Linked DNA regions of Bombyx mori. The main gene of each other region encodes a partner of the protein of the gene in region 3 in a complex. Links are inferred from orthologs where the notes say so. Each region holds a gene or a part of one and is shown on either strand. Other genes may lie near its edges.

Region 1 (7,932 bases), on a different chromosome or scaffold from region 3:
GACGGCCGAACTGACGTGACAATGACATTTGGCGCGCTAAACATGGCGGATTTTCGGCCTCATTAGACGGAGACGGAGATATTTACGTATATTCATGTTTCATTTTATGTACGCACTGAAATACTGTTATATTGTTTTCCTGCGAGTTAAAGTGCTGAGTAAGAACGAGATAGATATATGTAAGATATATGTGCCTTCAAAATGGGTGCTATTTATATAAGCAATTGTACGTATAGAACAATATGTCGTGTCCCTATTATATAGGTCTATGGGTGAACCTGGTACACTCATACAACCGCCAAGTGTCGACATGACTTGGTCGGTCCATCGCATGGGCAACCTTCCACCTTTGGATTGATAGAAATAAACAATATTTAAAATAAAATGAGTGTAACTTTCTGTGTATTGGCAATTTCGTACTTAAGGACCTAATATAAATTGCAAATAATTCCGGTTTACAATAATTACTTAAAAACGGTTAGCGTGCTATGGACATGTGATGTGTAGAGAGAAGATGCATGTGACTAGGAGATGTTTAGAAATAGTAGTGCAAGTTAGAAGAGGGGGAAGAGGTCGACCGAAGAAGACATGGATGGAGTGTGTGAATGACGATATGAGAGAAAGAGGAGTGAGTGTTGAGATGACGGCTGATAGAAGAGAATGGAAGAGAAAAAATTGTTGTGCCACTCCACCTAGTGGGATAAGGTTGAGTGAAAGAAGAAGAATAATTACTTAAAAAATTGATGAATCTACATGACTAATATTACTTTGCTTTGATGGTAACAAAGCAAAAAATTAAAGAATCTTCGCAAGCAGCAAGAGTTTAGGTACTTACCTACTTAACATTTAATAAAAAGTACCGACATCTCGAATACTTCGATACTTTGTTAGGTTACTTTTAGCGTTCATCAAATTAATAATCTTGCGCGTTGTGCCAAAACGTTTCTGGCACGACAATGAGTGCAATGTATTTATGTTTCGACGTGTCTAAGGGTGTATACAGACCGACTGCATACATCATTATACATATTTCACCGAACTTCGAGGTCGACTACATATTCTGAACCGAATTAGACCTATAAGGTCAAATTTACGTAATTTTAGTATGTTTGTTGCGGCCATGGGAATATCTAATCGGCAGGTACATAGCACATACAGTTAGAATTTTTTTCCATTATTATATATTAGTGCCCAATCTTTCCGACCGAGGATCTTTTTTTAAATAAATAAATGGTATTCGATTTTTAAAACCAAGGAGTTTTCAATTGAAAAGATTTTAATATGACAGGAACAGTGGAAATATTCCATTCCCGATACTTTTAGTGCAGCCCTCGTATAGGTACATATATTCATATACTTCAAACCGAAACGCATTACTGCTTCACGGCAAAAATAGGCAGGGTGGTGGTACCTACCCGTGCGGACTCACAAGAGATCCTACCACCAGTAATTACGCAAATTATAATTTTTCGGGTTTGATTTTTATTACACGATGTTATTCCTTCACCGTGGAAGTCAATCGTGAACATTTGTTGAGTACGTATTTCATTAGAAAAATTTGGTACCCGCCTGCTGGATTCGAACACCGTTGCATCGCTCGATACGAATGCACCGACGTCTTATCTTTTAGGCCATGACGAACTCACTTGATGTTAGTCAGCGAGAAATTAGAGAATGGACGCAGCAGTCTAAGGTAGATCAATCTAAAAACAACTCTATTTGTTAAGACGGGGTTTTTTTAATACATCAATGTAAGACGGGGAACTAGTTAGTCGCGGACTCGATTATAGTTGATTCGATAGTGATTATTTTAACATATTGAACTTGTCCAATCTTACTGTTGATAGTTTTTGGAATAGACGGGCGCTCTCTGCTCCTTTAGATATTAGGTAGACACCCCCCTCCTGGTAGAAATGTGTGAAGTCACAGATTATAGCATCAGTGGAATATCGTGGGCACAATTATTTTCTATCACCAAACGACCCACACCATAGTAAATTAATACAAACCTTGGTTTTTCAGTGCCATTGTGTTTTTTTCTGTTCACCGTACCAGTATTTGGAAAAGCAAAAATAAAAGTGATTGATCAACGAACATTTTGCAACAATATGTCGGCGTTGCCGGGCTTCGTTCCCGGCAGAACCCGGCATAGACGAAACAGACCGAAATATAAAACTGATTGATTTTTATTACTTATTTTAAACTGTGTTCTTAGTGCGAGTTTTTTAACGTTTTCGATAGCGTAAAAGTTAACTCAATATTGTATGCAGTTGGAACAGCGCCCCTAGCGGCAAACGTAGGTAAGCGTTCCAACTCCATACAAATTTGAGTTAACTTTTACGCTATCGAAAACGTTAAAAAACTCGCACTAAGCACACTGAATTATTTAAAATCATCTACAGCGCGGAATGTTGACTTGAGGAAAGGCGCGCGATGCCTGCAAGCTCCGTTACTTTTATTTCGTGTTTCCCTACTGGAAATCAATTGAAAGTAATCGTCATTTGTGTAAAGATAACCATAAGGTATTGGCTTATTCCCATTCCGGTTTAAGGACATTTCATTTACGCGCTATATTATAATCATGACTTTTTCAACAGATTGATACGACAAGGTTTTTCCAATCGAACAATTTATGATATTATATAAATGCATAGCAATGCAACTAAAACAATAATTATATCTTTGGATTGCTTTTATTATTACAATATTTTTATTGTCAAAAAAAATACTTTCATTAAATTTACCTTCAAATAAAATATCAATTTACAATATCTTGATATTTTAAATCAATATTAATAAATAATATCTATGAATATATGCCTAAATCACTAATCTTATCTTTAATTTTATCGGAAGGAATTCATTACAAGGTTAAATTAAAGCATGGAAGGAATATACATTACGTATTAAAATAATTATTTAGTTTAGTTTCAAATGTTGCAGATATTAGTAGTACTTTGTATGAAATAAATTGAAAGATTGAGTAATACAACTTAGTGTATTACTTTTTCACTTATTGTAAACATATACACAATAGGCTTTAAGTATTTTCACAAAATTGACATTAAAATTGAGTGATTCATTAAAAAATATCACAAAAACTAAAATCTATTTTATTAACATTTTTTAAAATAGCCCACCTCCTTTGAATTCCATCAAAGTGAACATTAAAGGTAATAATAATGCAACACTAAATACTCTTTAAAACTTCAGTCCAACACTTAATACAACAGCAGCACCACTCACTAAAAATAAGTATATTATAAAAAAATTACAATAACATATAAATAAATTTATCATTTTTGTTAAGTAATTCTTTATTTATTTATAAAATAGTGTTTCCTTTAAATTAAATTGAGCACTAACAACATCATATAAATTTTTAAAAGGAATCGGACGAAACACACTAATGTGTTTTAAAATAAACAAATCAACAAGAAGTTGATTTGTCAATTTTTTTTATTTTATTACTGCTGCTTCTTCTCAATCTTTGATCTAGTTTCATTAGGCGCTTATCATTTTCTAACTTAACCCTGACATTAATTCCCATCTTGACTTTTAAATCTAAGGGTACAAGATGAATTAACATTCAAATGAGACATTTGCATGTATGTCTATTGGGCTGAACCCACCTTATAAACGACAAAAAATGATTTCAATGTCAGAAATTTTGTCAAATTCTGATTGCTCAAGCATTTAACTGCATTGCATATTAGGTCTTGTTTGTCGTATTTTTTTCTTTTTCAAAACGTATGTTACAACTGATTATAAACAGTTTTTTTTTAAATCTTTGCACATTCATAAAACAAGTGGTACATCAAACTTGCATAATCTGTTCAAGCTAATTAGCTAACAAAATCACTAATTAGCTAATAGTCACACAAGATTTTATTACTATTGACTGGCAGAACTGTCAGGATAAATAGACCTACAAACTAATAGCTGTGAGCATTTACTAATATACATCAAGGTGCACTAATATCAGTTCGGAAATACTAAAAACATAGATTAACAAATAATATAACCACAGCCATTCTATGTTATGAACACAGTAATACGGTAAAGCATTATTGACATTTTAGTTAACATCTGTCTGAAATCTGAAACTTCAATCATGTTTATGACATATAGTATAAATTAAATCTCCTACAGTAGGTAGCTTCTGGATTATCACTATGGAATTTAGTGAGTGAATAAAGTGAGTTAGCCCTATCGGCTGCAGATTATAGTTGTCACCTCTGTAAAGCATTGAATACTCTGAATATTTCTACTAAGGCACAGAGAAAACGTACAAATGCATTGCACTTAGTGTATATGTAATTAATCAGGTATCCCCATACAGTAAGCTGTGATGTTATTTGTTCAATTGTCTTCGGTTCCTCAACTAGAGGCTCCTCCTGTCACAAGTCATAATTAAAATAGTTATGCCTACGTTCTAAATCACGGATCTCGACTATGTCAGCTTTCAGTCTAAGTTTTAAGATTTCCCTCCATATGGCTTCCCTGTGATCTTTGTTGTTGATACCCATTCGAAGTAATGTGTTGTCATTGATACGGACTAGAGCTCTACCTGTTATGTCATGCTGAAATTGTGTTAATTATTTTTATGTTAATTATTCATTTCATAATTCTTCACTAATCAAGTGTATTACAATTAGGTCATATATTTCAATAAATAGCTCATTGACTAGCTTATTTTTGCACTCAATGTTATGAATGATTCTAAGAATTTTGAAAAATTCTTTAATCGATTTTGAAGTTTGAAGCTTTGTTAATTGGATGAAAAATATTACCTCGTGAAAACTCTCCCAGTACATATGATAATAATCACTACAGTGGCGTCGAAGCCACTTTTGGACGTCGGCTTCTGTCCATAAATATATAGCTTTGGGACGGGTCGTTTTCGCCTGAAAATTCATTGAAATAGACTCATTAACCAAAAACTGTTATAGTACTAGGAAATTTATGGTTCGAATTTCGGCAAAATATAAGATTTTGTTTTATTTAAAATCGTTGGTCTACACAAACGCCTAATTTAAATGTTTAAAATACTAACTTTGGGTTTACTTGAATTAAGATTCGGTTCTTCCACCATTTTCAAAGTTACAGTTTTATAAATTATTTACTACAAATACAATAATTTAGAGGTTCAAGTATGTAAATCCTGTACAATAATAATTAGTGTAAATATTATGTGTATGTAATATGTGATTTTACGATTTATAATTTTGCAAAACAATATAAACGTACTCTTTTTTTTCAATTTGAGTAGTCCAATTGGCAGTCGATGGGAACATAGCCCATAATGCCAAATCATGAAATAGAAATACAATTTAATTCAAATACCAATTAGTATAAAATAACTTTTTTCTAAATCCAATGAATTTTAGTTGTAATAAGTTGCACACAATAATAGAACATATTAGAACATAATATATACGTAGAACGTACTAGTACTCAGATACCACTGTACTTAGTGCGGTTGGAACAGCGTCTCTTCGTTTGCCACTAGGGGCGCTGTTTCGCTGGAGTCATGGTCCAGGCGGCTGGCCGATCCTTCGGCTGGTCGTAGGACCGTCGAGGCGATTCGCCCGATTCTTGTGGATTGGGTGAATCGTGACAGAGGACGCCTCACTTTCCGGCTCACGCAGGTGCTCACTGGGCATGGTTGCTTCGGTGAGTTCCTGCACCGGATCGGAGCCGAGCCGACGGCAGAGTGTTACCATTGTGGTTGCGACTTGGACACGGCGGAGCACACGCTCGTTGCCTGCCCCGCATGGGAGGGGTGGCGCCGTGTCCTTGTCGCAAAAATAGGAAACGACTTGTCGTTGCCGAGTGTTGTGGCATCGATGCTCGGCAACGACGAGTCGTGGAAGGCGATGCTCGACTTCTGCGAGTGCACCATCTCGCAGAAGGAGGCGGCGGGGCGCGTGAGAGACGCACAAGCCCGCCGCCGTCGAGCGGGGGCCAGGGAGGCGGATCTCGCCCTAGCCCTCGCCCTCTAAGTGTTTCGGGTCCCCCTCATATGTCGGTCTGGGGCCCGGCGAAGGGGGCCTAAGAAGACGACGTGCAAGCTGCTCTGCACGCGTTTTACGCAAGAGCATCCGGGTGATGGAAGGCCGGCTATCCTCGACCCACGCTGGTTCTGACCCAGCGGGGTATTTCGTAGGATAACCAATTCAAACCGGCGCCATCTAGGCGGGCTTCGGACAGCCTGCCGACCGAGAGGGCTGGTGGTCGTGGCGCCGACGATCGCTGGCCCGGCGTCCCGAGGGGGAGGGTGATGGGAGAGATGTGCTCCGCACTAAACGCTTCACTCTCCTCCCCTTGCCTTTTCATGAGTTCTGTCTCATGCGAGGGTTGGACGTTGGTTGTTGAGCGACAGGAGGTTTTAGTCGGTTCGACTCCGACATGCCCCACCCTCCATCCCCAGTGGAGGGTGGGAGTCCGGCGATTTCCTCCTGACAAAAAAAAAAAAAAAAAAAAAAAAAAACCATGCAAGTTTGAGTTAACTTTTACGCGATTGAAAAGTATAAAAACTCGCACTAAGCAAACAAACTAGCGCATCTGCAGCGTCACGTATAAGATAAGACGTCATAATATATACCTGACTGTATGCGTTAGACGCTTTTTGGATGGGTGAAATCTTGTGTGTCGCGTCACCAAGATGCTTTTTTTTGTTTATTGCTTAGATGAATGGACGAGCTCACAGCCTACCTGGTGTTAAAGTGGTTACTGGAGCCCATAGACATCTACAACTTAAATGCACCACCCACCTTAGAATATACATTCTAAGGCCTCATGTATAGTTACAACGGCTGCCCCACCCTTCAAACCGAAATGCATTACTGCTTCACGGCAGAAATAGGCAGGGTGGTGGTACCTACCGGCGTGGACTCACAAGAGGTCCTACCACCTACAGTAAATTGTGGAATAGGAGTATAACTTTACTTTACTTTTTTACTGGTTAAAGTGCATTATGCGGCTAAAGAAATTTTCTCTTCAAAAATGTTTCAAGTATGTAAATAATTTTGGACTATAGAGCACTTGAATTCAAAGTACGAACATACGAGTTCTTGCTACAACATTACATCGTATAGGCTATATTGTTTTTACCAGTAGATAAAACCAACAAAAAAAAACAAATACAATGTCAAAAAAGACATTTTGGTAAATGTTGAAGCTGTCAAATATTGAAGTTGAAAAAATGAAATTAGTTGAAGTCTGAATTTTACCCGTATGAATTATTACATGTAAAATGCCGATATAAACAAAAATAATGGCGCAAAATTTACAGAAAAAACCCTCCAAGGGCATATTGAAGACGTCTCGTAGCGTCGATGGCTCTGACGGAATGCCATCTTGCAGTAAGCGAGCGAAAGAACAGAGATTTGATGAAATGAACATTATGGAGACTTTTCATCCACCGAATAAGGACTATGGTCACATGAAGGTAGAAGAACCTAAAACGCCTTTTTCGGAGACGGTAGACGGTGATTTGGAACCAAATGATGAATTAGATGCTAATCTACTCGCAGCTAAGTTAGCTGCCAGCATGAACAAGCCGCCGAAGTGCGTGGAGTCCTGTGACGATAGTGACGAGGACATGGAGGAGCCGGAGGAAGTACGCCGAAAGCGTATCGAGTTCGAGAAGAAAAGGAAAATGCATTACAATGAATTCCAGGTCAGATATTATATTATGTGATTCATAGAAGCTTGAGTGATTAGATCATTTTCAATTTAAGTAGGATGTAGTGATAAATTGTTTCTTCTAAATGGTGTAAATTGTATTCCGGGCAACATAGTATTAATTAATGTGTTTTTTTTAATAACTAATAACCTTGAGTGACTTCATTTTCTTTTCTGTTTTGTTTTTCTGATTGGTGTGAATATTTTTGTTCATCTTCATTGGCATCTGGGACCATAATTTTA
Region 2 (8,102 bases), on a different chromosome or scaffold from region 3:
CAATTATACACATAATTACAAATTAAGTACTAGTACAGTACAAGTAATTATCAACGAGTACAAGTAATTAAGTACAAATGAAGTAAGTAATTGAGGGAAATAGAGACTAGAGTTTGTAGTAGAGTAGAGTAGAATAGGTACAAATCCTGTTGTTAGATTTAACTTTGTTGAACTGAAAATGACTTTTATTTAGTGTTTAAGAATATTAAATAGTTTAGTTTAGTCATCAAAATTTTGTAACTCATTAAAGATATTAGAAAGTTAATTACCTAAAGCCAGCCCTATCGAAAAACTCTATTGTCCCTCATACGTAATCTGATTCACACCAAAGCCAAGCCAAATCGGGTTAAGCAAATTTTTTTCAGTTTTTGTGTATATCTTGTAATTTTTAATCTCAATTTTATTGGTATTACCCTAAGAAAAACCATTGAAAATTTGTGTTGGATTTGGAAAGGGTCCCGATTTTGCCCAATCTACTTACGATGTTTGATTTACTGCAGATATGAGTGAATTGGCTGTCAACTTACATGATATTAAATGGTTACCGGCGCCCATAGACATCACACCGCCACCCAGCTTCAGACATGAGGTGGAAAGTCTCATTTCTATTGTATAACAGCTGGTCCACCCTTCAAACTGTTCTAATTGCTTCGCAGCAGATATAGGCAGGTTGTAGGACCCAATCGGTGCACAAGTAAATGTGAATTACTCAAAGAACATTTTTCTCTTCATTTTATCCTCTGGTAAATCCCTAAGTCGCCATTCACGACACCCACGGAAGTGAGAGGTTCATTTTGGTATTATGAGCTGATAAATGCTGATAATAATAATGTTATTTTAAAATAAAATAAAATATGTTTACCATTAAAGTCTTCAAGTCCGCTCTCTCATCAGGATTTTTCTTGAGACAGCGATCCACGAAATCTTTAAATTCATCAGAGAAGATGCCAGATGGAAGCTTCGGTGGTGGTTCATTAACTATGTAATCTAAGAGCTCGAATATGGCCATCGGACGCGGTGAATTCGGCGCCTGTTAAACATTCAACTATGTGTACAATGTTCTTTTTAGTTTTTACACTGTCATTTGTTAAGTACTATAAATATTAAGTCCTCAACCAATATGGAATATTTCTGTATAGTTAATATCATGAACACTTTGATGACATTAATTGAAAGTCGCTCAGCAGTTACGAATCAGTATGGGTGAACATTAGACAAACCTAAATGTTGAAAATTAATGAAACAGATCAAGTGATTTGCTGTGGTAGATTAAAAAATTGCTTTTACAATATTACTCCTTGTATGTATATTGTGAGATATATACACTGCAAAAGCAGAGAAAGAAAACTCTCTTTATCACAATTATTAGAAAAGCTTTTTTTTTTATTGCTTAGATAGGTGGACGAGCTCACAGCCCAGCTGGTGTAAAGTGATTACCGAAGCCCATAGACATCTACAACTTAAATGCCGCCACCCACCTTGAGATATGAGTTCTAAGGTCTCAGTATATTTACAAACTCTGCCCCACCCTTCAAATCGAAATGCATTACTACTTCATTGGAGGGTGGTGGTACCTACCCACCCGTGCGAACTCACAAGAGGTCCTACCACCAGTAAATGCATTGTATGCATTGCAAAATATTGGAAGCATGTTTTAATACTAAAGCCGTACATGTCTGCCAGTGGTGCTAGTTAATCATAATTAAAATTTACCTGGCCCGGTGAGTGGTCCTCATTCTGCCCACCAAATATAGCTGCCAATGTTTTAGCGTCAGGAGGTGGAATTGGATACATTCCAATGGCCATTTCGACTAGAGACAAACCCAACGACCAGATATCTGACTGCACTGAGTAATGAGTGCCTTGCAGACGCTCCGGCTGTGTAAAAAAGAATCAATATTGAATTTTAAACATTTGATTCTATTTTTCATTGATGTTCTGGTCAAATTTGAATTTAAATTTTTAGAAAAAAAATCGAATTCAACTCACTGACATATAGCTCCTGGTACCAACAAAAGAATTAGCCATTGAATCTATCAGCTGCCCCGAAACACCGAAATCACAGATCTTAATCTCGCCATTGCTGTTAACAAGTATATTCGATGGCTTCACGTCACGGTGCATGATGGCGTGCTTATCGCGAAGGTAGCTCAAACCTTTGAGAACTGCTGATGTGATTGTTCCTAAGAGTTCACAATATTATTCTAGGGTTATTCTAATTCTTCTATTAAGGTCTATTCTAATCATTGGTTATAGAAATATACAAAAGTTAGTATATATTAATGTGCAAGCTGATCACTGAAGCATTCATATCGACACTTGAAAGGCAAACGTGACTAAGCGACAATGCGTTAACTTTACAGTAGACTAATTTAAAATTGAAATACCTGAAAAAAATTCTATTTTAACGAGTCTAGCTGTAGGATTGAAATGATTTTAATAGACCTAGAAATATATTTTTTTTGCGCATCGAATATGGTATTTGCGTATCATTTATGAACAAATCAGTTATTGTCACTTAGTCACGTTTGCCTTTCAAGCGTCTATATGGTTCCAATAGAGCTCAAGCAAGCTGCTGTGTACCAACACTGCTGATTTTTTTTAGAATACCCTCAACTAACAATAAGTGGTTTAAGATTAGCTTAAAGAAAAATCAACAGTTAATATATTCTTGTAGCATTCTAGCAGAATAGGTAATTTAGCAACATTAATAAACAGATATGTGGCACCAACCTTTCAACTACAACTAATGACATATGCAATGGAATATTGCAACAAAGATACAAAATAATACAAATAGATGATTTGTATTAACATGTAAGAATTTCTAGCGATTAATTATTAATTTGATGTAGCATAGATCAATTAAACGTTACCTAAAATAGATTCAGGAATTCTTCCCGCCTTCTTCAATATAAGATCCAATGACCCTCCATCCATGTATTCCATGCATATAGAGATCTCGCCATCACTATAGAATGCTCCATAGAAGCCAACTATATGTGCAAAGTTACATTCATGAAGTACTTTTAACTCTCTGATTATCTGCTTTTTTATAGCCGGTTTCACTTCGAGATGAATCAACTTGCGTGCCATGATGAGTCCGGTAGATTTGTGACGAACTTTCATTACAACTCCACCGTTGCCTTGGCCTGAAATTTTATAATAATTAAAAGTCACTAACAATGTATATAATTAGTAATTCTTTTATATAGTTTAGTTATTCTTATTTTTCAATTACATTTTTTACTTTTCCTGAAATTACCAATTATAGGGTAAGTTTAATTAAGCATTTAAAGGTCATCACCAAGTTAAACTTTGAAGTTGTCAGTAAAGTAATTTAAAAATAGCAGAAAATTAAAATACTCACTAGTACAAATATTATTTTAGATACTTTATAAAATCACTAACCTAATTCACCAAGCTTCTCAAAGTCATCATCACTCAGCTCTCCAATCTTCTCTTTCTGACAGAGGAATACTTCTATCCTGCGCCTCTGAGTATCATCCATCTCAATTTGCTCCAGTCTCTCAGTTAAAGCCTCTATACTTGTCTTTGACTTGCCTGCTAACCCTTGCCGCCTACAACAATTTTACAGTAACATAAAAAATTTCAATGTAAATATATATGCTTATATATATTATTAAGAAGCTAGAAATGCAGTATATACTTGGTGCCATTCCATTTATATGGAGGACCATAATATCATTGTTGTGATGTTCATTGGCTATATTTATCACTATATAAAGAGGTAGGCTATGAATTTGGTCACCTGCCTAAGCAATTAACAAATAAAAACTGATAAACTGTTTAACTCTTGTAATGTAAAGCATTAGAAATGTTGGAAATAATAAAATGAAAATAATAAATACGAAAATAAACCATAACAAGTGTTTTAATGATATCTGAGAATCAAAAATTTAACTTCTATAATTATAATAATGAATTTCTTAATAATTTTAGGTTTGATAATAATACTTTACTGCTGTAAAGATTATTAAAATCCCTATTTAATAACTTCAACCTCATAACGAAGTTTCATTATTTATATACTTACTCATTTGCAGTAGCAGATTTGAGCTGTGGTGTCATGTTAGATGGCGTGGCAGCTGGGTTTGTGTCTATTGACCCTGGTGGAAGGGTCAAATTCAGTTTGTTCTTTGACATCTTACTCATTTTGATTTTTTAGATCTTCCCTCATCCATGAAGTATCTACAACAGTTGATTTATTATTAAATAAGAGGGTTTAATTTTTTTGAGGTTTTTGGAAATTTAATGACAAGTTCTAAGTTTCTTGCCAGTGTAAGCCAGCTATGCCTGCGTCTTTAAGTTTTGTGAAGACATTTTTGTTTTGGTAAATAAGCTATTTCAGGTCCTAGGTTATCTCGAAAGTGTTAAAAAAGAAAAACACTATTTTCCCCTTAAATATAATCTACTGTCTATATACTGTAATGTATCTGTACTATTGGTTTCTGATAAAAAAAACAATGTTTTTGTTGTTTGGATTATTCATTTTCTTGAGTAAAATTTTTGGTTAGAGTGCCTAATTATGATACTAATGATTAATATTTAAAATCTATTAATACTTAAACAAAAAGGATGTAGCAAGGAGCCATTATGAATTGAATTCAATTATTATATTCAAACGAAGTTTTTCTTAATTTTAAATGGAAATTTCATCGAACACCGCAAAATTTATGAACAACAAAAAGCGTTGTAAGAAAAAACAAGATTCATACTCATCAAATACCCATTTGTCAAGGCATTATTTTATAACGTTCACACAGCAACGGTATTTCTTACAAAAAAATTGAAACACAAACAAAACTACTCAAAAAGAGTCCCAAACCCAGCAATTAATGTCGGAAAAAACCTTAACTGAAAAGAAAATGTAAATCGAATATTCGTCACTCGCAAATTTTTTGCCGTAAGTAGATATGACATTTTTTTGATTCGTCTTTTGGATAGGCAAAGAGAATGTGACCCAAACAGCTTAACTACTCTTTTGAAACAAAACCTGAAGTTATAAAAAAAAAATAGAACTAGATTCTATAATTTACCGAGAAACCAAGTTGAGCAAATTTTTTTTTCAGACTACTACTCGCAAAAAATTCAAATCTAACAAGTAATAATAAAAATTATCTAATCACCAAAATATTGATAATAATAATAAATGATTTATGTTCGGAATTCTCATATCTTTTTTTCTTTCTTCAACAAACAAAAATTTAAGTAAAGGTTAAGGTAGGTATGTACAAAACAATGAACAAGAATATTGATGTTATGTCATAAATCGAAATATAATCGATTTCTTCCAGGCAACTTTATAGGAAGTTAATTTATTTCATAAAAATGATAGTGGTTATCTACGTTGCAAGTAGTACTATAGAAATACGTTGTGATCTATATGAGCTCCAGTAACTCTCTGAGCTGCTTTGCTTGTTATGCTCTCCAAGTTCTGAGCTGCTTTGCTCGTTTATGCAATTAAAAAATCAAACATAAATCATGAGAAAAAATAAAAATTGAAAAATACTATTAGATTGGAATAAGAATATTAAAATTCATTGACATGCTGCTTTAAGATATTCTTCGTCTTTTATGTATGGCAATTGGCTTCTTGCGATACCATTGTTGCCAATGTCCAGTTTATAAAAATCTTCAATTATTAAATACCTACCTTCAATTATAAAATAAATAATTAGAAAATTTGAAATTTTCTGTTATATCAAAAACTAGCAGCCCGCTCCGGCTTCGCTCGGATCTTTAGCAAAAATTTCAACGACGTTGTTTTACTTTTTTATATAAAAGAACACTTATTGTGGCATAACTATAATAGTTAGACATATGCTGTCGCGACACTTTTTGTAAATAATAATATGTTCTACAAAGTCGTAGTACATTATTTTATTCTGTCATCAATAGTTTTCGCAGGGCACGCAATGTAGTATGGATCCCAAATTTTTTTCAAAAAAGATTATAGCCTATGTCACTCGGGAATAGTGTAGCTTCCAAACAGTGAAAGAATTTTTCAAATCGGTTCAGTAGTTTTGGAGCCTATTCGATACAAACAAACAAACAAACAAATCTTTCCTCTTTATAATATTAGTATAGAAGTATAGATAATGGAGCGAAATGAGATTTAATTTAGTTTATTCATTTGAGACTGTAATCAATTGAGATGAAATTAAATGAAACGAGATGAGATGAAATAAAGGATCAGTAAGATTATGGTTATTTACTGAGACTTCAGTGGACTTTTAAGAACTTATGAAGCCACGTCCAACGGCTGTTTAATTTTTCCAAATTTGTGTATTTTAAGATGCCAAACAGTAAATAATGTACTATTATTACACGTTTAAACCTGAAGAAACACTAAATTAACAAAACTATTCAGACAGCTTTGCTCATATTCCCGCAAAAATACCTAAAGCAATTCAGTGTAATGAAGAGTGAAGTAATGTGGTTCAAAGTCCAACAGCCACTAGAGAGTATCTTCAACATAGTTTTCTGTTGAAACTATCGATCAACTTCATTCATATTGTGTAGTGGCATTTTAAAAGGACACTACTTATTATTCACAGATTAATTTACTAGTTATTTATACCTTTAACCCTTATTGTATGTTCCCACTTTGACACAAGATTGATATCTCAACCCGGAACAGATATATCAATCACTGTTCTGTACATTGTGTTTAGTATACCCCTATGAATAAATAGACTTATTATTTATTCATAGGTATACCCTAATTAACTAAATTAAATATAAACAATCTAACATCACAGCTATGTGATGATTATTCTATTTATCTTTCTTTTATAATTTCTATATCAGGATGAAAACAAAAAAAGTACAATATTAAGAAATGGGTTTATAATAATGTTGAAATAAAATTAGAACCTAGGCAATACATTAAAATAAAATCAAGCTTATTTATTTACAGAAATCACCTAATGCTGCTTGTTAATGTAACTAGCTCTAATACTAAAATAATATGCTCAAATATTTAAATATTGTTCAATTACAAATGAAATATCATATTAAATTTACTATTCAATAAAATAATACAAATGAATCATTTGCATCATATGGTCAAACATTGAAGCATTAAGCAATCAAGAGTTTTCAATTTTCTATTATATTTCAGAAAAGTGAAAACTCATGAAGACTTTAATTTAGTTAAAAACATATTTATGCCAGGCTGATTCTTTTTTTCGGGACCAATCTTTTTGTTTTCAACTTTAGGCGATTTTCCTTCTTTTTCCTCTGATTTGGGCTTTTTCTTTTTTTCAGATTTATTGTTTTGTTCACTGTTTTCAGAATTAACAGGTTTCTTTTTCTTAACTCTTTTTTTCTCTTGTTCGTCAGGTTCACTCGAAGGTTGTAAGAAAGGCGTTGGATCATCAATAACCATGGCTAGTTTCGAGAAGTAATTCCATAAAGCGTCAACGCATTTACTAGGCTTACCACCATCACTACTTTCCCAAAGTGGGCCATACATGCGTGGTTTCAGTTTTTCGGTTGGTTTCTTCATTTCAGTTTCAAATTCATCCTCTAAATGTTTGAGCCTCGCCTTCTGTGTTTCAGGGGACAGTGATAGTACGTCATCATCTTCCATAGTTGCTTCCTATGAATATTTTAAAGAATATATTAAAGTCCAATTAGATAAATAGTAAACAGGTTACTTTTACTTAAATAGTAATCAAGACTCATCTCCAACATATCAAAATTGGGACGGCCTACTTCGAAACATGAGGTTGAAGTATGAACAAAATTGGAATACTGGAATACTTATTGGAAAATTACTTTAAACAGGATTTGATATCGATATATGGTGCCATTTAATTTGCTATTTATATTTCTGATATCCAGGAGCGAGGGAACATGATGGAGATTCTTCCTTTAGTGGAATAAATGACCATGATTGGTTTTCTGTAGAAAATAGCAACAGGGTTGAATCAACACTACATATTAAATTTTTGTTTTGTTGTGTCTGAGTAAATTCTAATTTTAAAAGATATACGTTTTTAATATTTGAAGCTTAATACTAATATTAGGGTAATTAATACAAACCTCATCACTAAGATATCCGTGCGGTACAA
Region 3 (7,330 bases):
CTCCTCACGGCCTCTCGCACTGTCGCCCACTAGTGCCGTGCGAGGCATGTTCCCCTCGTCCAAATCCAGGAGTCTGAAAAAGAAGAGCTCCATACTGGCCAGTGAGTTAATTCCAACAGCACATACAAATTGTCAATTATGAGTAATATAGCTATAAACGTTGATTTGGTATTGTTTTGAACAACGAGTGGCATTGCGTGGCTCAGAGCGCCGGCAGGTGGCGGCGCGGTGGGTGGGCGCGCGCGGCGCGGGCGGCGCGGTGTGGCAGCGCGTGCGGGCGGGGGGCGCGGCGCCGCGCTGGGTGGCGCGCACGCTGCTGCTGGCGCACAACCTGCTGTACGCCTACCGCTCGCCGGAGGTACGTGTCCCCGCCCCGCCCCCGCCCCCCGCGCGCCGCCCCGCCTGTACCCGCCCCCTTTGTGCAGTGCTCGAAGGCGGACTGCATGATCTACCTGGAGGGGTTCACGGTGTGCGCGGCGGGCGAGGTGAAGTCCCGCGCGCACGCCTTCAAGGTGTACCACACCGGCACCGCCTTCTACTTCGCCTGCGAGTCGCGGGACGACATGCTGGCCTGGATCCAGCTCATACACCGCGCCACGATGCTGCCCTCCCTGGGCCACCAGGTACTGTCCACTGAAAAAGTCTCAGTAAATGACCACCATTTTACTGAGATTATATTTCATCCCATATCATCTCATCTCATTTCATATAATTTCATCTCAGTTGATTGATGTCTCAAATTAATCATCCTAATTTCATTTCACTCCATATTATCATTTTTCATAAAAATAAGAATATAAATTAAAATAAGACATGACCTAAATAAAGGTATTAGTTATCAGGTCAAAAAATCCGTTTAAAAAAATAAAAATACTTGTTTCCTCCCTAAATTTAGGGGGGAGAAATACAAAGTTGGGAACCCGGTCGCTTTTGTTTTGTAATAATAGTGGCATATTTTGACATTTTTGCCACAGAGTATAAAAGATCAGCAATGTCGGAACGGCAAAGGAATATTTTTATGCAGTTCGTAAACATGACGCCACCACAACATTTTCCCTTTTTAATTATTTACTCACAAATTAAGTGATGTAAAATTATAAGAATTACATATTTTAGCTCAGAATAAAAAAAATAAAGAAACGATATTTTTATGCATGATGAAGTTTTGAAAGGATAATGTCCATTTTCTTTGGGCGTTTGGGCCCCTAAAAAAAGTTGTCGTGTCATGATGGTTTTAACTTAATTTGATAGACAAAGAAATATCGTTTCATATTCAGAAAACGATTTTAATATTTTCACCCAGGTTTAAGAGAAATCTGTTTTTTTCTGCAGCTAAAATTAAATTGTTGTTTTCTTCGAAAATCGCTCTCATAATTAATTACAGTGTTAAATAAGTGAATTGTGGTTAATGTTGCTAGAAATAAGCCCTTATGTACGTTTTATTATTATTATATCCTCATATTAATAATAAAATGAAGGTGGTTTCTGAGAATGGACTTCATTGACCCTTCTTTCGGAAATGAAAATCCAGAAGCCAGCAACGATATTGCTGTTGTTGTTTTTGAATTCGCCAATAGGCAGGCAAAGAGCGTAACCTAAACAGCCTAGTCTGTCGTAGTTATATTATTTTTATGTTAATAAAAAGCCGGTGTATCTCTTTTTATTGCTTTTTTGGAGTTTTGACGTCAACTCGACGAATAGCACATTGACTGAGCGTGAGTTTCCGCAGACCTTTTATCTTGAAAAAAAAAAAAGAAACAGTCACTGCTATGTTAGCCACAGTTTTATTTCAATATCCACAATCGTGAATAACGGTTATTGACGTTTAATACATCAAACAACACCCAATTTATATATTATACATCACAATAAACTATTAAAAAAACATTAAAATAAAACTTCAAGTGACGCTTCACTCGGGTTGCTGCCAAAACTCTGACCATAGATAATAAGAATAAGTAATGGTGGGCCATTGAGATTTTTACTAATGGAATCATTAATGTCTAAAAATGTTAAATAATTCATGGTTTTAAGTAATAATTATTATTACAATATATAAATATTGAATTGAACAAAAATAAACTAAAAAAGTCTGTGAATTATAACCGTTCCGTTAGCTTTTTTTTTAATTTGTTGTTCAAGTCAACATCTCTTTCTTTTGGCAGCATTTAGGTTTACTATAAGTCTGTATGGGCTAGCCCTTTGTCTGCCTATTAGCGAATTTAAAAACTATGAATGATGGATGTACTCAGTTTTCGGATGTTATCAAATAAGTAATTTATTTTTTTGTAAAACAATGCCAGGGTGAAAGAAATTTTGATACATAAACTAAAGAACGTGAAAAAATAAGGCATGTTTTTCAAGTACAAATAGTTTTGACACAAAATTGGCCCACTTTTGGGCATTGTCCTATTGTCAATTGAATTGTGTTATTGTAGTATTAAAGGACACAATTTGTATAAGATGAGTTGCCCACACAACATACGTGTTTCTGTCGCGTGCTTGCAGCTGGACGTGTCCAAGCAGTTCTCGGAGACGGACTACTCTGAGACCGAGTCCGACAGCGAGAGCCCCGACAAACGGAGCGAGAAGGAGAAGGAAAAAGATAAAGAAAAGGACAAAGATAAGGAAAAAGAGAAAGACAAAGATAAGTCCAAGTTCGGTTCCTTAAAGAAACTAACCCACATGATGCAGCGCAGCGAGTCGCAGGAGATCGTCAGCCACTCCTCCACCAGCCTCGACAGGAAGTACCTGAGGTTCTTCCTCAGGAACAAGAGCAAGGACGAGACCAAACCAGCCAAGGTCAGTCGAACGCCGTCTCCGGCCACGCTCGTGGCCCCCCCTGTCCCATACCCGCCAGTTCTGTACTGCGCACTGTGACCTGTCGCAGAGCAAGCCGGCCCCCCCGGAGCAGGCGCGTGGCCCCCCGGAGCAGGCGCGCGGCCCCCCGGAGCACGCGCGCGGCCCCCCGGAGCAGGCGCGCAGCCCCGCCCGCGCCCCCCCGGAGCCGCTCGCCAACAAGATACCGAAGCCGATCAACTACATCCACGCTTCCAACCCGAACCTGCTCGATTTTGAGAAGAGCGACTTTGTGACGCGCCCCACGCTGCGGGTCCCGCGCCCCGAGCCCAAGGTCAGCGCCGCTCACACGCACGCACACGCACGCACGCACACACGCGCGCCGCCCGCGTGCTGACACGGTTAAGTCAACCGGGCTCAAAATCCCGTAAAGTTTTGTAAATTGATTGAGTGAATCAGAAAAACAATTAGTTCGATAATTTTTACATTACTACTACTACTGCAGCTACTTTTACACTGCGGGACATAATGTTCTGTTAACTTGAAACACACTCTAAATCGAGGTACGAATTGTTGGATCTTGCAGCACGCACCGGTACGCACCGGGACACCAGTACGGCATTGTATGGGAAACATAACATTAAGATAAAGATAAAGAAGCCTTTATTAACAACCTTAATTCATATTTAGGTACATTTTTCTTTTCATTTGACATCCGCTAAGATTGTTTTGCTTTCGCATAGACCTCCCCCAAATCCTGCCATAAGTTCCGGTCGTGGCATTTCCTCTTCCACGTAGAGCAGGTCCTCTCGCAGGTCTGCTGGAAGAGATTTCTCAAAGAAATAAGCAGTGCCTTTGTACATAATTTTCCTATTACTCTGTACTGTGTCTTGTTTTCTGTGTGTACAAAAATAAATAAATAAATAAATAAAATAAATAGAGCCTGCAACGGCTTTTATATCGTCTACCCACCTTTGGAACGGTCGTCCTTTTAATCTTTTCCCCTTTTGAGGGTACCATTCAGTTACTAATGTAGCCCATTTTTCTGTTTTGCTTCTTAATAAATGACCTATCCATTTCCACTGTAATTTTTTAATTGTGTATGTATGATACATCCGTTACTTTTGTTTTCATACGGATATCTTTTAATTTTATTTTATCCTTTATTTTAGCATGTAGCATGCTTCTCTCCATACTATGTTGGCATGTCTGCAGTTTTTTGATGTTCTTCTGAGTTAGAGCCCAGGTCTGACACCCATACGTCATAGTCGGAAGTATATTTCTATTAAATACTTTACTTTTGAGTGGTAGTGGAATAGACCCGTTTTTTGTTATTACTTACATACATATTTACGAACATAACATTAAGAGCATCTTATTCATAATCTAAATTACAATTAATCTGTTGTCCTCAAAGTCGACGGCCGCGCCCCACTGCAGTCCCGGCCTGTAATGTCGCGGGCGGAGCCCGTGCCGTTGTTAAATTTTTTTTGCAAAGTTATTTGAATTAATGTTATATTAAATGACTGTCTCTTGGGGAAAAGCGATTTTAGTCTTTTCCTAGTACTAAAGAGTATCTCCCATCTCCTTTCACGGCTCGGAGACTGTTTTTTTTGCTTTTATGGTTGGATGAGCTCACAGTCCACCTGGTGTTAAGTGGTTACTGGAGCCCATAGACATTTACCACGTAAATACACCACCCACCTTGAGATATAAGTTCTAAGGTCTCAGTATAGTTACAACGGCTGCCCCACCCTTCATACCGAAACGTATTATTTTACTGCTTCACGACAGAAATAGGCAGGTTGATGGTACCTACCCGCACGGACTCACAAGAAGTTCTACCACCAGTAATTACACAAATTATAATTTTGCGGGTTTGATTTTTTATTACATGATGTTATTTCTTCACCGCGGAAGTCAATCATGAATTTTTGTTGAGTACGTCTTTCATTGGAAAAATTGGTCCCTGCCTGCGGGATTCGAACACCGTTGCATCGCTAGATACGAATGCACCGGACGTGTTATGCTTTAGGCCACGACGACTTCAAAACGACTGTCTCGCTGTAGCGCGGGTTGCTTGTTGCAGCTGGACAAGGGCCCGGGCGCGGTGACGCTGGAGCAGTTCATGCTGGAGAAGCAGGCGGAGGAGCGGCGCCAGCTGTACTCCGAGCGCGTGCTGCTGGGCGTGCGCCGCGACCTGCAGACCAGGCTCGACAGCATCGGTGCGGGCGCTGCAAGCTATTTATTTACTTATCCCATTCAATTCAAAAGTCACGCTTACAGTTTGCACCAAAACGCCTGACTGGTTAACACAAAAAACATTGTTAAAATTATTAAGTACTATTATTATGCTAAAGATAGCATTATTTTGGAAAAAAGTGTTCCCCAACTATCGGCAAATACGTCACAGCGCAATCGCTCTGGCCGCTGGACAGCTCCTAGCTCCACGGGTCCTCAGCCCCGCCCGCGCGTGCTGTTGCCCGACGAATAGTGTCGTTTGCCAGTGCAGCGCAGTGCCAAGGAATTATTGACTCTATTCTGTAATAAAGAACAGTAACGTACGAGTAGATGCAACTTAAGTTGCAAGTACTTAACGCTGCGTTTTAACGTCGCGCTCTGTGCACGTCACACAAATTGACTAGACGAGCCCAACGCTCCTTGACGCAACGTAACATTCGCCAAATCATAGTGCTCTCCGTGCAGTGTGAAAATTTAAAGATATTAAGATGTCGAATGATTCAGATGTGGCATTGTATAAGCGCGAGTATTTTCCAACTAATTCTATCAATTTTTCGGGCATTATCCAGTATTTTAATACATATTCACTCGGACGCTAAAATAAAATTTGTAAAAAATAACAACGCCTGACGTCTAGCGTCCTAACGCGGCCTTAGAGCGCTGCGTACTGCTAGCGCTGGCGCTCGGTCTGACACTTTATTACCATACTAGTACAACACATCTCGGCGTCGTAGCGCGCCGTCAGTTTAGCGTTCTGACGCGCGCTAAGTACGCGTTCTGTGTGAAAAACACCTATTCTCCGCTGAACCCCTCAGCCGCCGCATACAAACCCTAATGGTGTTGCAGGCCGGAATGCACCTTCCTCGTTTCATTTTAAATTATTTCAATACATTTTCACGTCACAGCTTATTGAAGTAAACCATTGTAATAGTTCCAGATGTAATCTACGGGGAAGTGCGAACGGGAAGCAACTCTGCAGTGCAGGGGCGCGCTCTGCCCTCCGCGCCGCCCTCCGCGCCCTCCGCGCCCACCACCGCACCCTCCGCCCACAGCAGCACCACCCCCAAGCCTGTCTCCGTCAGAGGGAGGGACGGGTGAGTGGCATATGATGTCCGCCGGCGGAGACTAGTCCCCACGCTGAGTCAATGTTGATAAATGTAATTTCCCAGATACGAGAGGCTGGTGTACCGCGCGGAGGAGAAGCCTGCCTGGGGAAGGAATCACAAGGTGAATATGACCATGTTTGTGGTAGTCTACATAAGGCAAATAGTACAATGCGGCCCGGGAACGGCCGCTCGGGTCGAAATATGGCCACTACCCTTCAAAAACTTTATCGAATAAAATAGCTGAACAGCGGGTAGGATCTGTCTATGAAATTACAATGATTATTTTAAAATCGATAGTTTGATAACTATGTACATACAATTAACTCTGCCAGATATCTACAGTTTAATTAATCCTATTTTGATTTTCTTTAGCATTTTTAAACTTTCGATCAAAAGAGATCCAGAAACAAAACAGCGTTGTTTCCGAACTTCAACAAATATATGCCTATACGAGTATAACTAAAGAAGGAAATAAATTGGTATAGTTCTTAATTGTGAGCAAGAAACATAAACTGATGAGAAGACGGTAATGACATTAAAAATAAATAATTAAGTTAAAGGAGGTATAAAAAATAATAAACACTAACATAATTGAAAAAAAAACATATAAACCGTTCATTAATTATTTCTAAAACCTTCTCTAAAGGTTTTCGATTTGATATGAATGTTCAGAACATATCGGGTCGTAACTTGGCCCAGGGACACGTTTATTCTGGCCGGGCGGACCCGCGCGTAGCGGCGCGTCCGTATTGATGTAGAGAGTTTAAACACGTCATTTCGGATCCTCCCGATCCACTAGCGGTGTTTTTATGTACCTCAAGCACTGGTCAACGTTTTCGTCGAACCCGTCGCTTGCGACGAAGGGCTCGACGAGTAAATTAACCCATAGACACAGCCCACTCAGTTTCTCGCCGGATTTTCTCAGTGGGTCGCGTTTTCGATCCGGTGGTAGATTCTGCGAAGCACGACTTTTGCTAGGGTTCGTGTTAGCAACAACGTCAGGTTTAAGCCCCGTGAGTTCATCTACTAGTTAAGGTTCCGCTGAAATAGCCTCTCAAGGCTATCAGCTTAGGTAGGAAAAAAAAAAGATGTAGAGCTAATGTTCGGGGATGAGTCTTGGGGCGGTCTGGTGTGTACTGACGCGCGTGTTGTGCAGGTGCACAGCGCGCTGCCCGCCGCGCCGC

What was found.
Region 1: the proteins of uncharacterized protein LOC101745226 (region 3) and protein aveugle are in contact, whole or in part, in a crystal structure (PDB 8BW8), measured with the Drosophila melanogaster proteins. The link is inferred for Bombyx mori from reciprocal best matches to the Drosophila melanogaster genes cnk and ave. Residues at the interface, in NP_001286524.1 of Drosophila melanogaster: Pro47, Glu51, Leu56, Arg57, Ile58, Gly59, His60, Gln61, Glu62, Leu65, Glu66, Glu69, Lys110, Ile111, Asp112, Thr113, Leu116, His117, Ile119, Thr120, Arg121, Ile123, Lys127, Val130, Glu134, Arg139, Arg145, Cys148, Gly149, Leu152; in NP_725413.1 of Drosophila melanogaster: Tyr24, Gln51, His52, Asp53, Ile54, Arg57, Ala58, Arg61, Ile62, Thr63, Ser66, Arg69, Met70, Glu79, Trp82, Arg83, Val86, Lys87, Arg89, Leu90, Lys91, Asp93, Ile94, Glu96, Ile97, Arg98, Met100, Glu101, Leu103, Asn104.
Region 2: the proteins of uncharacterized protein LOC101745226 (region 3) and Mek are in contact, whole or in part, in a cryo-EM structure (PDB 8BW9), measured with the Drosophila melanogaster proteins. The link is inferred for Bombyx mori from reciprocal best matches to the Drosophila melanogaster genes cnk and Dsor1. Residues at the interface, in NP_001286524.1 of Drosophila melanogaster: Arg46, Tyr48, Arg72, Tyr76, Thr92, Lys95, Asn96, Arg99, Arg103, His117, Arg121; in NP_511098.1 of Drosophila melanogaster: Arg200, Gln255, His258, Gln262, Tyr319, Val321, Asn322, Glu323, Pro324, Lys347, Gln348, Asp350, Glu351, Arg352, Ala353, Asp354, Lys356.

Annotation. Positions count from the first base shown.
Region 1 is NC_085109.1:14,220,732-14,228,663, forward strand, and holds protein aveugle, read right to left. Parts: upstream 5,276-7,932; 5' UTR 5,096-5,275; coding exon 5,057-5,095; intron 4,908-5,056; coding exon 4,794-4,907; intron 4,584-4,793; coding exon 4,401-4,583; 3' UTR 2,675-4,400; downstream 1-2,674. Other genes in the region: protein phosphatase inhibitor 2, read left to right, coding at 7,280-7,684. UniProt on the Drosophila melanogaster protein: Required for normal photoreceptor differentiation between Ras and Raf for EGFR signaling in the eye and for mitogen-activated protein kinase phosphorylation. Probably acts together with Cnk to promote Raf activation, perhaps by recruiting an activating kinase.
Region 2 is NC_085127.1:6,271,846-6,279,947, forward strand, and holds the start of Mek (MAP kinse-ERK kinase), read right to left. Parts: upstream 4,956-8,102; 5' UTR 4,740-4,955; intron 4,213-4,739; 5' UTR 4,177-4,212; coding exon 4,058-4,176; intron 3,585-4,057; coding exon of another isoform or gene 3,582-3,584; coding exon 3,412-3,581; intron 3,153-3,411; coding exon 2,877-3,152; intron 2,184-2,876; coding exon 1,990-2,183; intron 1,879-1,989; coding exon 1,714-1,878; intron 1,031-1,713; coding exon 863-1,030; intron 1-862. Other genes in the region: chromatin assembly factor 1 subunit A, read right to left, coding at 7,160-7,627, 8,074-8,102. UniProt on the Drosophila melanogaster protein: Required downstream of Raf in the sevenless (sev), torso (tor), and Drosophila EGF receptor homolog (DER) signal transduction pathways.
Region 3 is NC_085128.1:246,475-253,804, forward strand, and holds part of uncharacterized protein LOC101745226, read left to right. Parts: coding exon 1-101; intron 102-206; coding exon 207-358; intron 359-425; coding exon 426-623; intron 624-2,508; coding exon 2,509-2,802; intron 2,803-2,890; coding exon 2,891-3,133; intron 3,134-4,888; coding exon 4,889-5,024; intron 5,025-5,971; coding exon 5,972-6,134; intron 6,135-6,209; coding exon 6,210-6,267; intron 6,268-7,302; coding exon 7,303-7,330.